Linked DNA regions of Arabidopsis thaliana. The protein of the gene in region 1 purifies or fractionates together with the protein of each later gene. This does not show direct contact. Each region holds a gene or a part of one and is shown on either strand. Other genes may lie near its edges.

What was found.
Region 2: the proteins of AT4G03930 (region 1) and AT4G28440 fractionate together in Arabidopsis thaliana (co-fractionation; one large-scale study listed by BioGRID). This does not show direct contact.

What each region holds. Positions count from the first base shown.
Region 1 is NC_003075.7:1,868,347-1,873,068, forward strand, and holds AT4G03930 (Plant invertase/pectin methylesterase inhibitor superfamily), read left to right. Parts: upstream 1-2,075; coding exon 2,076-2,699; intron 2,700-2,983; coding exon 2,984-3,248; intron 3,249-3,355; coding exon 3,356-4,041; downstream 4,042-4,722. UniProt on the Arabidopsis thaliana protein: Acts in the modification of cell walls via demethylesterification of cell wall pectin.
Region 2 is NC_003075.7:14,058,037-14,062,044, forward strand, and holds AT4G28440 (Nucleic acid-binding, OB-fold-like protein), read left to right. Parts: upstream 1-1,859; 5' UTR 1,860-2,017; coding exon 2,018-2,285; intron 2,286-2,740; coding exon 2,741-2,934; 3' UTR 2,935-3,350; downstream 3,351-4,008. Other genes in the region: AT4G28430 (Reticulon family protein), read left to right, coding at 1-347, 428-581, 674-748, 832-973, 1,077-1,146, 1,258-1,323, 1,408-1,736; AT4G28450 (WD repeat and SOF domain-containing protein 1), read right to left, coding at 3,688-3,850, 3,957-4,008.

The DNA.
Region 1 (4,722 bases):
TAACTAATTGAATATTTTCAATATATAATCATACTCGCACTCATCAGTCATAACACCATCAATTTAATTTTTTTTTATGGGGTTATTATATGTACTAGATGACTAAAACTTTGAGAATATTTTCATGAATAATATGAATTTTGTTTAAGTTGATTACATTATTTATCAGGAACAGTAGTTACCAAAAATAATAGTTTCATATTAAATTTTACACGTTGGTCATATAGGGGATCCTTGCTTATTGCATTCTGCATGGCATGTCAGCACAGTGTATCAGCATGTGATATAATTTTACTATAAGTAGAGCATTCATCGGTCGTAAATTTTCGGAATATTCAGTGTATTTATTTTCTATTTTTTTCCGTTTTCTATTATTTCTGTATTTCTCAATACAATAAAAATTCAAACTAACCAAAAATTCAGAAAAGATCACTATATTATATATAAAATCAATTGCCGCCCAAAAAGAAATCTGTTTTACAATGAATATAACTGAACAATTATACATATATCTAGCAAATCTATCTTTTGGCATTTCTAAATTAATAATCTCCATTGAAGAGCTGCAACTTTGTGCTTGCTAAAACTTTTTCACCTGCAACAAAATGAGTATTATGGGAGATTTAAAAATCAACATAGGCATACAAAAATATTCCAGAAAGAAGAGAGAGACAATAAGGACAACAAATTTTGAGTCATATCATATTTGTTGTGATGGGCTCCATCCCATTGATAAATACCTTAATCAACCGATTGTCAGCTGAATTCCTCATGCTAATACCTAACTATACAATATTATAATTGCCATATACTGGAAAACTAGCAGATTGCACAACAATATAGAAAAGACACAAGCATAAGAAAGAAGCCTACGCGACAATTACTACAACATCTCCATATTGAATGGTCTTCTGATATACAATACCATTCCATGCGCGCAGACTGAGACTTTGTAAGTATGTGAAGCATCTCACGAGAGTTCTCAGTCAAATGCAACTCAACAAAGAAATCATAAGAAAGCATTAAATATTGAAAGCATTGAGAAGCAAATTAGTTCATGAACCACATCACATCAGCATCCTGGAGACCAAAAAAGGAAGACAATGAATCACTCAATAGAAGAACTGATAAGTTTTTGCTTTCACTGCCAAGAGTGTAAGAAACATACCGCAAAAACAGACTACTAAACCCTTTTCAAGAACAATCCGAAGGAAATTGATTCTTCTCCACATCATTTAGCATCCAAAGCAATGACCACCATCTTTAGTTGCAGCTCTACGCAGCACATCTAAAGCTTTCTTGTTCTTTTACCAATTCTAAAAATCTCAAAGAAGAGATCGATTCCAGATACAATAGCTGCATAAGATTCATTCAAAGTTGTCAAAATTACAGTACCATTTTTTTACGGAGGAATGACAAGTTATGAGAGTGCTTTTATTATATCTTTTCGGGTAAACATTGTAACGTAGTGAAAGTTGAGAGTGAATTGCCTAACAACCGATAGAATCAACCAAAAAGAAAAAAAGAACATCTTTTCTAACGACCAAAAAAAAAACCTAGGGGTTTTCTATTTATTAGGTGTATATTGTCTTTTCTAGTACTAAAACAATAATGGCTAAGTCTCATCCTCACACGTAAGAGATTAAGGTTGAGAATATATTGTATTGTTGTTAGCATAACCTAAAATGGATGAAACCAATTTCTACCAAATTCATTTTTTTTTAGCCATTTAGAGTACAGTGGAAAACAAGTATTTCAACTAAAGTACTCTAAGACAATTCTTCTTCTATCTTTTATGAGCTGAAAATTTTGGACCACTTTTCTTTTCTGTTCTTTGTGGATAATAAAACCAAACTTCACTGAATTATAGCTTCAATTCACATTGCACTGAATTTTTAGATTGATCTCAAAATAAAGTTTTTTTCCTAAATATTGTCATTTATTGAATACAATTAATTAAATGTAAATTGATTAAGTTGCTTTGCTTTGTATATAAGACCACCATCGCTCCCTCCTCTTTCATCAGTTAAGATAATATAAATTCAGTAATTAAGAGAGAAGAAATAAACACAAAAATGTTGGTTAAAGTTTTCTCTTTTTTCATCCTTATGATAACAATGGTGGTTATTGGTGTTAGCAAAGAATATTGTGATGACAAACACTCATGTCAAAACTTTTTGTTGGAGCTTAAGACAGCTTCCTCGTCACTCTCGGAGATTAGACGTCGTGACTTATTGATCATCGTTTTGAAGAATTCCGTGCGGAAGATCGACATGGCTATGATTGGTGTGATGGAAGATACAAAACAACATGAGGAGATGGAGAATGATAAGCTATGTTTGAAGGAGGACACAAATCTATTTGAGGAGATGATGGAGTCGGCAAAAGATAGGATGATCCGTTCAGTGGAGGAACTCTTAGGAGGAGAATTCCCTTATCTTGGATCTTACGAAAACATCCACACTTGGCTCAGTGGCGTTCTTACTAGCTACATCACATGTATCGACGAAATTGGTGACGGTGCCTATAAACGTCGGGTCGAGCCACAGCTTCAAGACCTCATTTCTAAGGCAAAGGTAGCTTTGGCTCTTTTTATCTCCATTTCGCCGAGAGACAACACCGAACTTAACTCGGTGGTTCCCAATAGCCCGTCTTGGTTATCTCATGTTGACAAGAAAGATCTATATCTCAATGCTGAGGTAATAAAACGGAACCCTAATATTTTTAAGTTATAATTTGATAATCGTGAAAAACAAATTAAGGATAGACTTGATACTCAAGTAACAAATATTTAGGATTTGTATATTTACCTTTTATTGTATTTACTTGTAGATAAATTCTTTTTCCTTAGAGATCACCAGTTCTATAAATATAGACCTTAAGGTCACGTAAATCGATATTTTTGCATCTCTTAACAAACCTTTTATCATTTTTCTCTTTCTTTCTACTGCTTATAGAATTTCTTCTGTTTTTTATAAAGCAGGCTCTAAAAAAGATTGCCGATGTTGTGGTCGCGAAAGATGGGACCGGAAAGTACAACACAGTGAATGCGGCCATTGCAGCAGCACCTCAACACAGCCACAAGAGATTCATCATCTATATAAAGACAGGCATTTATGATGAAATCGTCGCCATTGAGAATACGAAACCCAATTTAACTCTTATAGGTGATGGTCAAGATTCAACCATCATCACGGGCAATTTAAGCGCTAGCAATGTTAGAAGAACGTTCTACACTGCAACTTTTGGTAAGAGTTTGTGTTCTATTCTTGAATAATTTATAGTTTTCTCTTCTTTATACCAAACTATAACATTCTTAAAGACAATTCTAATTATACTAAAAATATGTTTGAAGCTTCTAATGGTAAAGGATTCATCGGAGTAGACATGTGCTTCCGAAACACGGTCGGGCCGGCAAAAGGACCAGCTGTTGCCCTCCGTGTGAGTGGTGATATGTCCGTCATTTACAGATGTCGTGTCGAGGGATATCAGGATGCCTTGTATCCTCACATAGACCGCCAGTTTTATAGGGAGTGCTTTATTACCGGTACTGTAGATTTCATTTGTGGAAACGCAGCGGCGGTATTTCAATTCTGCCAGATTGTAGCAAGACAGCCTAATATGGGGCAAAGCAATTTCATAACCGCTCAATCACGCGAGACTAAGGACGACAAATCGGGCTTCTCAATTCAAAACTGCAACATCACAGCAAGTTCGGATCTAGATACAGCAACCGTAAAAACGTATCTTGGAAGGCCTTGGAGGATATTTTCAACAGTCGCGGTTCTGCAGTCTTTCATCGGTGATTTAGTTGATCCCGCAGGCTGGACTCCTTGGGAAGGAGAAACTGGTCTGTCAACTCTCCACTACCGCGAATATCAAAATAGGGGTCCGGGAGCTGTGACTAGCAGAAGGGTGAAGTGGTCGGGCTTTAAAGTTATGAAAGATCCTAAACAGGCTACAGAATTCACTGTAGCCAAGCTCTTAGATGGAGAAACTTGGCTAAAAGAAAGTCGAATTCCATATAAAAGTGGATTGTAATAATGTTGTTCCATGCTTCACAAGTATAACGTACTAAATAAAAGGGAAAAAAGCGGAAAAAAACCCCGGTTTATTTTTAATTTGGCCGTTTAATACCTGTACTTTTAAAATTGGAAGAAAAATACATAAGTTAATTTCGATTGTCTACAAAAATCTTAGTCTTTTAAATGTTGGATATTTCCTGCTCCCAAGTTAACGACTGTTAGTTTTGATAACGGAACTACTAACTGTGGTTAAAACATAACTCATGTTATTTACGGATATATATACAAATCTCTTTTAATATGATTGCGATTATGTTGTCTTAGTCTAGTGGTTAGTTTTGGGTTGATTTTTTATCTAACTCACCCAAGTCTGAGTTCGAATCCCGCAATATACTTTTTGACGTTTTTTTTTCTTTTTTTTGTCTTAATTTAATTGAAGAATGGAGCTGGTGGTGGTGAAGAGGACGACGGAGATGGCAGAGCAACGGGTTTTCTCAACCACCAGAATCTGAAAACTTTTTCTATGCACAACCTCGACGAAAAACTTGTACCTAGATTTTGAGATTTGATTTGATATTTCTAAGGCTTTTACTTTCTTCTCTGTAGATACATGTTTAGGATTTGTATCCAAATTGAAATTTATTAAAATTGAAATTGGATTTGTTTTCCAATTCGAATTTGTTGCTTGTGTTGTGTT
Region 2 (4,008 bases), about 12 Mb from region 1:
TCTTCGTGAGATTCTCCTTTTATCTCCTTCCCCTCTTCGTAAATCGAGAACCCGTTTAAGCAATCGGTTCGATATGGAAGCTGCGGAGGCTGCTGTGACGGCACGACGGAGTAAGACGAAGGGAGGGCAAAATGGTCTTTTGGCCTCGCCGTCGCCGAGGAATTTCCGGAGGTCGAGACTAAGGTCGGAGGCGATGGTAGATACAAAGGAAAATACGGAGCCAATTGTTGTCGTGACCGATGAAAAGAAACAAAACCAGAGGAAACAGAAGAAGTTGGGTCGATCTAAGAAGGAGAAGCACAGTTCTGTTCCTCTGTTAGCTTCTCCTAGTCCATCTTCAGATCAACGTATGTCCTTCCTCTGTCTATTAGCTCATTCGATTTCACTTTCGTGCTCTAATAATTGCTCAATGATTTGTGTAATTCAGCTCAAGATGTTTGTCAAGGTGATTTAGAGCGGATTAGAGAGAATATAAGCGATTTGATTATGTGGAGAGATGTTGCGAAATCAACACTTTGGTTTGGTTTTGGCTGTATATGTTTCCTATCTACTTGCTTTGCTGCTAAAGGATTTAACTTTAGGTAACATTGATTTCTCTGTCAAGGTTTATCTTTCTAGCTTTAATCATTTTTCACATTCATGAGTTGATAATGAAACTTTGTGTGGTTTGAAGTGTTTTCTCAGCGATCTCCTATCTTGGACTTTTGTTTCTTGGGGTATCGTTCTTGTCAAATACTCTTCGCCAAAGGTACAAACTTTTAAGGTCCCAGTACATAAATATCAGCTTGAACTGCAGTTGACTGAAGTTTTGATCCATTTGTTACCATAAAGGGTTACTGAAGAAGCGCGGAGAGAGCTTAAATTGAGTGAAGATGATGTATTACGAATAGCTAGACGAATGCTTCCCATCACCAATTTAGCAATTTCAAAGACGAGTGAGCTTTTCTCTGGTGAACCAGCAATGACACTCAAAGTAGAATTTACAAAACTTTGCCATTCTCATAAAACTTCTCTCCAATGAATGTGACTCTCACGTTGATTTTGTCCTTCTTACACTGTTTTTACTTTGATTTCAGGTGGCACCTTTTGTTCTAATGGGAGCTGAGTATGGTTACCTCATAACATTGTGGAGATTATGTGCTTTTGGTATGATTGTTGAAACACTATATGTCAACATTACTCCAAAGAAAGCTAAACTGTTTTCTTTAGTTGTATCTAGTAGAATTGACACAGAGTATGCATTGTTTCTTTAAACAGGTTTCTTCCTTAGCTTCACTATTCCAAAGCTATATTCATGTTACGCAAGTCAGCTTAACCAAAAAGGTAAACTCTATTAACAGACTGCGTAGCTCTTTGATGGTTCCAATGATTGACACTAAGGATTCTTTGATCTTTGCTTATGTGTAGTTGAGTGTGCACAAAGGAGATTTGTTGAAGCTTGGGGAGTTTGCACACACAAGAAATTCGTAGCAGGCTCTGCAGTTACTGCATTCTGGAATCTAACTTCTCTCAAGACCCGTTTTATTGCAGTGTTTATCATAGTAGTAGTAATCAGATACAGACGACAGAATCTACAGTTAGATTCCGAGGATGAGGAGGAGAAGAAGCAACAAGAAAAAACTCACCCGGAGCAACAAAAATCGCCGGAGGATAAGTCAACTTCACCGCGGTCAGCAGAAGAAGAGCAAGCGTTGGTGCTAGTTGCAGAAACCAAAGCACCAAAGAAGCTTTATTAGTCTAGTCACTAGTGTCTTTTCAGTATCCACCTGTGTAATAATATTTCACATTTACGTAATAATAAATAAAGAGCAGTCATTAATATCAAATAATAAATTGACACGTGACAAGCTCATGAAACTGTGAGAAGCAGGTGATAAAAACTCTCGTCCGTCTTGGGAGAGAGCACATCGTCGTCTTTTCTTTATAAACCCTAAATTCCCATTTCTCTTCTCCAAAAGTTTTATCGATTCCACCAAATTAGGGCGAACGCGAAATCTGGGTATTGTAATTTGAAGCGATGGCGACGACTGGAACTGCTGCGGTTGCGACGGGAACTTCGACGGTGAAGAGAAAACCGGTGTTTGTGAAGGTGGAACAGCTAAAGCCTGGAACGACTGGTCACACGTTGACTGTTAAAGTCATTGAGGCTAATATCGTGGTTCCTGTTACCCGGAAGACTCGTCCAGCGAGTTCTCTGAGTCGTCCTTCTCAGCCTAGTCGAATCGTTGAGTGTCTCATCGGTGACGAAACTGGGTGTATCCTCTTCACTGCTCGTAACGATCAAGGTTATTGTTTCTCCACTTTTCTCTTGCTTTATGGATATAGAAATGGTGTCTTCGTAGTTTATTAGAGTGATAAGTCTTATCCTTTGTTGTTCTCTCGTTTGTCTTAATCAATTTCTATTTTGAGCAAATGGTAAATGTGTTTCTATTAGTACTATTTGGTAAATGATGTATCAGTTATTGTATGTGTATTTAGTGATGTCTTTGTGAAATTGAAGCTTGAAAGAATCTTGGCCTTGAGGGTCTGTAACTCTGTATAGTCTTACCTATAGTGATGATGAAACTTGCTTGGTTAGATGTTGAGTTATGTTCAATTGAATGGTCTACATTATCCCAAAACTTTCATAGCTTTTCATAATGTGAAGTTTTGTTATACCAGTTTTCGTGCAATTGATGTGGCTACTGATTAGCTCTAATGATGTTATTGGTTTTTTTTGTGTGTGTGTGTGTGTGTATAGTTGATCTTATGAAGCCGGGTGCTACGGTGATACTGCGCAATTCAAGGATAGACATGTTCAAGGGTACAATGAGGCTAGGAGTTGATAAATGGGGACGCATCGAAGCCACTGGAGCCGCGTCTTTCACTGTCAAGGAGGATAACAATCTGTCTCTCGTTGAGTATGAACTGATCAATGTTGGTGGTGATCAGTGATCTTTTAGTATGTTTATGGAGGTTAACCCCTGAGAGTGTTGGGTTCTGATTTTTCTACCGTGAAGGTCTTTGATTTAGATGATGAAGATTGTATGACTGGTCCAGAGTTGCTTGTAGGAATATGCTTCTTCTTTTTTACCCTAAAATATGCGGTCATGATCTTGCTCTGGAGAACTATTGAGCCTGCGGTAATGGCGTAATGCAATTGTTCCTTTTAATTTGTGTTGATGTAAGTTAAAGACCATTGAGAGCTTGCTTGTGCACTATCTAATACAGTAAAAATAAGTTTTTCTTTCTTAAACTTTACTAATGTCTTTGTTTTTTCATTAATTACTATTTGATGTACACTATTGTACCCTCTCGGTTACAGAGAGTTTTGCCCAACTTTTTACATCGAAAGCATCTCATCCTTGATTAATGTCATTGTTAAGACAAATTGTAAGTGCATAAAATTCATCGACGGATCATAGAACCATTGTCTAGTTAAGTCGGTCTAATTCCAAACTTTATAAATCTTTGAAATCAGAATGTTACTTTGAAGATCAGCTTTGTAACACCAAAAACGAATAGTTAATGAACACAATACGTAGTGAAGAGAAAAAAGAAAACGAAATGGGTAATAACTTAATGGCATAAAGAAAGGCTTACAACACAGCAAAAATGTTCATGTTCCTAATCTTACCCTCACTATACCAATACAATCCTCTCCACGTATCATCATCCTTGAAAGGAACAAACGGAGAAAGAGTAGAGTCACTCCACTTCTTTGATGATCTTTCTTTTGCGCAGAGGTGCTGTGACCACTGTTCCTGGAGCACTGTGAGCTTTCCTTCGTGCTTCTTTTCTTCTCTTCGAATCGTTCACAGTTCGAATGATACCCATCGCTTTGTATATTGGTTTTGGCAAGTGCCTGTGTCTGTAATTCACAATAACCAAAACGTTACCATGTTACTATAGTTATCTTTTGACAATCTCCAGAGTTAAAGCATGGGATAAAACCACAGTTTTCATTGGTCATTTACCTCACAATGCGCTTAACCTCAGAAAGATGCTTGTACCGGTTCTTCACAGCCT